Tribolium castaneum: one gene and its partner. The protein of the gene in region 1 purifies or fractionates together with the protein of each later gene. This does not show direct contact. Links are inferred from orthologs where the notes say so. Each region holds a gene or a part of one and is shown on either strand. Other genes may lie near its edges.

Region 1 (3,821 bases):
ATGACAATTTGGCTTATTTTTAACAAAATTTCGCGTAATAATTGAAATTTCTCCGGTTTCATTTTAGTTTTTTTGTATTTCATTGCGATTTATTTGTACAAAAGCGCGTTTTTGTTTAAATATGAAGCATTTTACAATAGTTGTGTTAAATTTTTATAATTTGTGTAACATTTTCCTGTGATTCTTTTACTTACCGATCGAAAATTAATTACCAGTCGAGTTCGGGATTCGTTTCTATTATAGATTTTCAAAATAATTCACAAAAATTCGAACAAAAAAAAACAAAAAGATCAACAATTTTTTCTTAATCAATAAATATTTCCTTTTTAACACCGAAACTGTTTAGGTTTTTTTTTATTTCGAATTCGAATTTTCCTTTAGAAAATCACATTTCTATTCTAACATTTAGGTGAAACAGTCGCAATAATCAAAATAACATAAAAGTTGTTACGATGAAATTCGATTTTTTTTTAAGAAATCACGCAAAAGTATTTAATAAAAAAACGCATTAATAAAACACAATAAGGATAAAATATCACCTGCAAACCATTATTCAGTGTTCAAAAACTAATTCTCGCGAAAAACGTATTTTTTGATTAATTTTTAACAAAATTTCGTTAAACAATTAATCTTCTGAGTTTTCAACGTAAAAACAAAAAAATACAAATAAAAAGTTACCAGCAATAAACAAAATGTAGCAAAAATTAATGTTTAAGACATCAAACAACATGAAAAACGTCAAAACTTGTTTACAAAATGCTACTTTTCGCGGTATTATTCAGTGGAATAAAAACAATGTTCTAACAAATGTGAACTCTCGAAACAAGGTTAAAACTGCACCACATTTAACCAAATTTAGTAATTTAAAAAAAAACTCCAGAAATTCGCTGTTTTTCTGAGTGAACATGAAAAAAATTCAATTTTCGTGTAAATTTTACACGATATACCGTCACATTTTAACATAATCTAACAAGAGAAATTATCTAAATATACCATTTAACACAATTTAGCTCATAATTAACAAAATTTCGCGTAATAATTGAAGCTTCTACAGTTTAATTTTAATTTTTTCTTGACATAATTTAATTTTTTACATTTAATTGTGATTTATTTGTACAAAAAAGTAATTTTTCTGTTCCTATTTAATAAAATTCTATAAATTAATTGCGTTGCTCAGTGAAAAAACATGATAAAACGTCCGAAAAAAAAATTTTGTGTAAATTTTACAATTTACCGTCACATTTTAACATAATCTCGCAAAAACATAATGAGATTTATCAACAGACGTAAGTTTAAGCGTCAAAAATGCACCATTTATGACAATTTGGCTTATTTTGCGTAATAATTAAAATTTCCCCAATTTAATTTTATTTTATTGCGATTTATTTGTACAGAAGCGCCTTTTTTTTATAGAAAGCATTTTACAATAATTTTGTTATTTTTTTATATTTTAGGTGACATTTTCCTGTGATTCTTTTACTTACCGATCGAAAATTCGCGCTTCTTTCAGCACATTGCCCAGATTGATGTAGGCATCCAAGAAATTGGGATCCAAACCGACTGCTTTTTCGAAATGATGTATCGCGAGCCAGATCTCCCCTTGAGCGTTAAAAACGCATCCAAGATTGCTCCAAGCGACGGCGAAATCCGGTCTAGTCTCGATAGCTTTCAAATAACACGCCTATACAACAAATCAGGAATAAATAACAAGCACAAAGGACTATAGTAAATCGCAAGCGCCCATATTTTCGAGGCCTCTCCAAACAGGTTGGGACAGAAAAAAATCGCCAAAACGCAATGAACGCATACTGAGGTGAAAAAATACGCCAGCGCACAACTTACGCACCTTAAAATCGACATAGAAACGGTCGAAAAAAAGAAGAAAACTCATTACGCAAGCAAGCAATTGACGCACAGAGAGGCCTCACTCCAATACCTAAAAACAAAGAAACATCTTGTTCGCTTGCGTACATTACCTGAGACTAAGCCCATAGTTTTACCAGTGTGATTCCAGGGAGGCGCACGGGACACCAGCCACATACCTGTATTATTGTACAGCAACAGTAATACCATTAGTCAGCATTCTCATTTGTCAATTATAGGCGGCCACAAACAGAAAATCACCAAAGCTATTCCCACTCTCTAAACCAGAAACTCAATGCCACCGGGCCTAAACTTAAAAGAAACAACTTATTTACAATGTTCACCGTCATTTTCACTGAAACGGGTGTCCCTGAAAGCTGGCTCACAACCATTTGGAACAAAACTGACACAAAAGCAGATTTTGTTCCCATTTGATCGCACCTGAATCCAAAGACACTCCGCGTACCCAAAGGAAATATCAACTCTCCTGAAATATTTATTTTTATACGCCTACCGCTTCATCTTCCCAAGGCATAAGATACAACAGTGCGAATAAAACTGTTAAAAATTCTCAGCTAAATGAGCAAAAAAAATTGAATTAACTGATTATTTATTTATATTTCCAATTTCAGAGTTCGAATTTTCCTTAAAGTACTGTCTAGTTGATGTAAATAAGCTTCTTTAGGAAAAAAAAAACATTGATACCGATATTTTGGTGAAACTCTTTTTTGCGATAATTAAAATAACAAAAGCAACAAAATTAAAAAACAGTGTCTCAACTGAGACGTTCCCGGTAAATATCTTCGTTATTAATAAACAAAAATCAAAAACCTCCGAAAGTTGTTATTTTAATATTAAACTTTTTTTAATAAATGCTCCCTAACGCCCTATTTAAATGCAAAAATTTAGCTTAATTTACAAGCATTCCTCTAGAAAAAGCAATTACAGCAAATGTAGCTTGAAATTAAATTCACGCAAAACAGCTCATGATAACTTTATTCGCGAAACAACTGATTTATTTCCAGATTCTTTTGACGTTTTATAATCAGAAAATTTTATTGATGATAATTTCGCAGTACCCAGAGAAAGAATAATTATAATAAAAAAAAGTAATAAAGAAGTAAGATTAAGACAAACTTAGGCACCTGATGTCAAGTGAAGCTAATATAATTAATTTTAAAAATACCAGTAAGAAGTGCAATAAATGACAAAAACTGAAGCATTTTTTACAAAATCTCGCGAAATTATTTAGTTTATGCATAAAAACGTACTAAAACAACTTTTTGTGAGTTTTCAGTTTATTTTTGACAATGCTCCGTAAAATAATTGGCTAAAAAATGTATTAAAATGCTCAAAAAAAACTATAATTAATTTAAACTCAAGGAACTTTTTAAAGTGCAAAGGAATGACAAAAACCGCCGCATTTTCGACGAAATTCGATTTCTTTATTTAGTTTCTGCATAAAAACGTATAAAATAAAACACATCAACGATAAATAATATCACCTGAAACCCAATTTAGTGTTTCGAAAATTTTCGCGAAAAACTAAATTTTTTGCTAAAAATTATTACAAAATACAACGCAACATCGTTTAATAACACAAATGTCTAATCAATTTTTAACTTTTCGATTTATTTTTACTCAAAATAATTGCATTTCTGAATAAAAAAGTGCTAAAATGCTCAAAAAAACATGCCATTTTTAACTAATTCTAGCTCAAAACAAAGAGAAGACAATGGCACTATTTGCCACAAAACTTGCATTTTTTAATGAAATTGCCGGAATTATTGAGCTTCTCTGTGTTTAAACTCAATTCTGTGTTTAAAATTTCACGTAAATGTTTTTTCTTAAAAAGGTATTCAGCGGTAAAGCATTTTAAAAAATAGTCCCAATGCAACCATTTTTCAATTATATTTTTTATAATATACGTTAAACAATTACCTCCCAAGTTTTCAGGA
Region 2 (4,351 bases), on another chromosome or scaffold:
AAATCGCTAAACGCACCGTATTTCCAGCGATAAAAACGTGTCATCATCACTTCCTGATTACACAAAATATAAAAACGCTCAATCAGCTGAAACAGTAACGAACCGACAATGTTTTGTGTCAGTCTCTTCATCTTCGTTGTGCTTTTAGCCAACTTTTCGGCGCTAGCTTTACCGGAACCTGCAGAGAGCGACTCCGGCTCCCCGGTTGCCAAAAAGTGTGTAAAACCGGTGACTTTCCATACTGATTCTTACTTGTTTCAGGGATAATTCGGACGCAATTTTTACCTTTATTAAAAGTTTGCTGAATACGGGACATGCCGGGGCGCAAATCGCCATAAACAGGGTCAAAGCCGAGGCAGAAAAGAGAAAACAACTCCTGGATGAGATCAAACAAACTATATTGCCGAAATCAAGCAAGCAATGATAATGTTGTACATATTTTCTTAAATAAAGTTTTTACGTGAAACGTGGTTTGGTAGACGTGCGGAATCTCTTAGCCAACTCTCTTTGCATCGCGTTTTGGTCCTGCTGACTCGCTTTTGTTATTTGTTCCATGACTTCGTGATTGTATGTCGAGTGCAGCATCAGAGAGAGCACTCCGGCTCTCGAGGCCATTGTGTTGCGAATTTGGCGCTCTTTTTCTAAAAGTTCGTCCATTTTCAACCACTGGCGCACCCGTTCCAAGTCGATCTAAAATTTGAACTCGATTAATGCCTGACATTTTTTTCTTCAAAAAAAAATTAGTTAATGAAAATAAAGAAAAGTCAACAAAGTGAAAAAAGGCACTTTTTATTGACAAATGGCATTTTTTGTTGTACCCCAAATCTCAAAAAATGCAAGGTAGTTCTGAAAATTAAATTAAAAAACCTGAAAAAGTTCTTTGTAATGTCACCAAACATGCACCAATCTCCTTTAGTAAGATATTTATTAAAAAATCACCCTTTATTTATTTAAAAAATTTTTGTTTTTCAGAAAACGTAACCATTTTTACAACTTTTTTCTAAAATATTACGTTGTCGTTTACTTTTTTCATTTTTTTGTGTTATTTACTACGTAAGCTTTTTCTTCCATTATTGATGGTGAATTTTCTATGAACATGAATTGAAACTACAACTACAAACTTTTTAAAACTAAACAATTAAGAACTTAAAAAGTAAAAAAAAACGACGAAAACTAATAATTTCATCAATTAATTTAAAAAAACGCAACCCGTCTATTTACTAGGTATTTTTTTCAAAATCAAAATCAAAATATTTTTGCCGGCCTTAACATTCCACCCTGAGCTATATTGCAATACAATACAAATTCTACTAAGCAAAAAAGATGGAAAAGTAGATTTTTTCGAGCAACTTTCTTAATTGTAGCATTAATACTTCATTTTTTTTTAATATCTTACCTCAGCCCGTCTCAATTTCTCCCAAACGTGATGCTTAACGCATGATTTTTTCGGCGCTCGACAAAACTCCCCTGTCAGATCGAAAACGTTGGTGACCAATGGACAGCCACAGACTTCATATTCGCCGATTTTCGGATCCTTGCAATGCTCTGGGCACAAAACCCTCAATCTTTTACAATAAGTCCGATTAGCTGGATTATAAAAATCGCAAAACATGTTATTCCCCTCAATTCTGGTTTTAAAAATACTCCCGAAACTCGCTTGAGATTCGTACTTGTTGAAACACTTTTCCATGTGTTTGATGGCCGTTTTCGAATGTATTTCGAGTCCGCATGTTATGCAATACATGGTCGACACTTCCGACTCTTCGTCGTTGTCGAAATCGGCGTTCGGATCAATGGTGGCGCTCTTGGCGCGCTCGATAATCGCGTCCAATTCGCGATGCCGGCTGTCCAACTCTTGCAAAATCTGTTTGACTTCGAACTGTTGCTTCCTGACTTGGTCGAGAGCTTTGATATTGGACTCTTCGGCAGAGCAGGGACTCAGGGCCCACTCTTGGATACGCTGTGGCAACACTTGCAAAATCCGATTGGTTGCCAACTTTAAGCCACACTGATCCGAGCAGTATTTCGAGCCGTAGCGGGCGCTATTGGTACACGTGGGCCCGTAGCATTGGCGCGGATAGTCGGTCATGAGGTGGGCATTGGGCGGGCCTTCCCTGTCCGAGCTTGAATCCCGCCTCTTGCGCCTCCCCCTGCAAATCAATTGGTCAAGAATCAAGTCATGGGGCGTGGCTACCCCACCCGCCGTAATTTATGCAAATCCGCTGCTTGCACCGCTCCTTGTTGCGCGGGGAGCCGTGACGGCTCCGCCTCGTGCACACGTCGCACCGCCCGCAGTCCTCGGTGCGGTAACACCCCATACAGTCCCCGCATTTTTTCATTTTTTTGTCGTTTTTGGTGTCACCTCGTTCTTTGCGTTTGCGGGCTTTGCGCTCCTCGGTGTTGGTGTTGGCACTGGCGATTTCGTCGCGTTTGGTCCGCCAACGAGTCTGCAGAGTTGAGTCCTCCTCGGAACAGCGAATACAAATGTATTGTTTGATCATTTTGGCCTCCTTTTCGGAGATGTTCATGCAATCGCCGTGGTACCTAGAAATGCATGATTTGAACAATGTGTTGGCATGCAGGTGGTTTTTTACCATTCTTCACAGGCGTCACACGCAATCATGAAACGGGAGCTGTCCGAGGAGCGACAAATGCAATAAGCTTGACCATCTTGCTTGAGGAGGGTGTCGATTTTGGATTGACGCTCCGGTAACAGAAACTGTTTAGCGATCTCTTCGCGCTAAAAACAAGGCAAATTAAACACAGTTTTGTCCGGTTTATGCCAAAAATTACCGAAATATCGCGTTTTCGAGACATCTTCAATTAACTTAACCTTGCTTCTTTTAGCCACTTTTCCTAGCTCTGTTAGACATTTGAGGTAGGTCAGCACCTTAAAGCTAAACAATCGCCATTTTCAATGCTTTTCTTATGGGCATTTAAAAGTTTTTCGTATTTCTTTAATGCTAGAAGTGTAGGAACATTACTTTTACAGAGAAATGATAGCTATGAAAAATGCAATGTCGTTTCTTAAAGATTTTAGCAACTGAGCTAATATTTCTGTAAGTTGAACACATAAATCCTTTTCTAACCTAACTTTTTTCAAACTTCAAAATTCAGTTTTTCTTAATTTGGACATCATATTGATGTAAATTATTATGTGGCCTTTTAAAACTGAGGGAAAAATGGTTTGCCACACTAATGACATTGGATTTCTTCTGAATGACGAATTCATGGGGTGCAACCGGCGCAACCCCAATAAACGGGTTGTTTTCTGTCCCCCTCCCCCATCACGAGGGATGAATAGCAGGTATACGAGGGTAGAGGGTTCAGGCACATACATGGTTGAAAGTAGTACGGGTTGTGAGTTCTGTGCTTCTTTCGTGAGTGTCTTTTGTTATCGTGTTTTTTCCGATCGTTCTCCATATCTTCGTGTTCTTGAATTTTTAAAATTCTGTTTTTCCAAGACATTATCTCATTTTTGTGGTACATCATTAGGTATGATTTGTGAATAATATTTTGTTGCGATACTTTGATAGTTCATGTGTAGTAGGTTTTTACATCACAACTATGGGAATGTGTTGGGCTCCAGATTGCAAACACTATAGTACTCGCGATAAATGCCATTTTTTTAGTTTTCCTAAGTCGGGAAAAGAACGAGCACTATGGAAAAAATTGTTGAGGTAATTTTTAATAGATGTTTTGATATTAATTTTTAATTGCTTGTTTCATTGTTAAATGTAGAAGAGATGTAGAACCCGGACCAGGAGCCTACGTTTGCAGCTGCCATTTTCGGGATGGAAGAAAGGAAAATGGTCCTGAATTATTTTTGCACAATATCGCAAAAAGAGCCTATTTTCAAGTGGAATCTCCAGAAAAAAAAAAGATGAAAAAACAAGGACTCCCTTCTTGTTCTAGTTCCGCTGAATCATTAAGGTAAAAAGTGAATCCTAGTTTTAAATTGATTTACAATTTGATCATTTGAATAGTGTTGATATACCGGAAGAAACAGTACCATCGACAATGAATTTAGAGGAAGTGCCATCGACGTCTACAGCCGTAGTTGCAGCACCAGCAGATATAATTCAAGATGCTCCGTTAGAATCTATGGGTGTGCAAGCACCCTTGGTGTCACATGCGGCTCTTGAAGCAGAAATGTATTTTCTCAAAAAGGAAAATGCTGAACTTAAAGCAAAAATACAATATCTGACAGTACGATTTTGCTATGAAAATGTTCAAGGAAATGACAAACTCATTGTTTTATATACCGGTCTTCCCAATAGCCAGATTTTCGAAGCATTGTTTCACTTAATCGAAAAGTTGGACATAAAATATTACCACAAATGGACAGTCC

Evidence for each region.
Region 2: the proteins of sxc (region 1) and CXXC-type zinc finger protein 1 purify together in Homo sapiens (affinity purification with mass spectrometry; 3 studies listed by BioGRID and IntAct, with this or other methods). This does not show direct contact. The link is inferred for Tribolium castaneum from reciprocal best matches to the Homo sapiens genes OGT and CXXC1.

Annotation. Positions count from the first base shown.
Region 1 is NC_087394.1:6,425,068-6,428,888, forward strand, and holds part of sxc (UDP-N-acetylglucosamine--peptide N-acetylglucosaminyltransferase 110 kDa subunit), read right to left. Parts: intron 1,682-3,821; coding exon 1,485-1,681; intron 1-1,484. UniProt on the Homo sapiens protein: Catalyzes the transfer of a single N-acetylglucosamine from UDP-GlcNAc to a serine or threonine residue in cytoplasmic and nuclear proteins resulting in their modification with a beta-linked N-acetylglucosamine (O-GlcNAc).
Region 2 is NC_087398.1:9,598,906-9,603,256, reverse strand, and holds CXXC-type zinc finger protein 1, read right to left. Parts: upstream 2,928-4,351; 5' UTR 2,818-2,927; coding exon 2,794-2,817; intron 2,741-2,793; coding exon 2,595-2,740; intron 2,545-2,594; coding exon 2,200-2,544; intron 2,151-2,199; coding exon 1,397-2,150; intron 691-1,396; coding exon 457-690; 3' UTR 382-456; downstream 1-381. Other genes in the region: uncharacterized protein LOC107397902, read left to right, coding at 3,156-3,495, 3,548-3,680, 3,742-3,933, 3,987-4,351. UniProt on the Homo sapiens protein: Transcriptional activator that exhibits a unique DNA binding specificity for CpG unmethylated motifs with a preference for CpGG.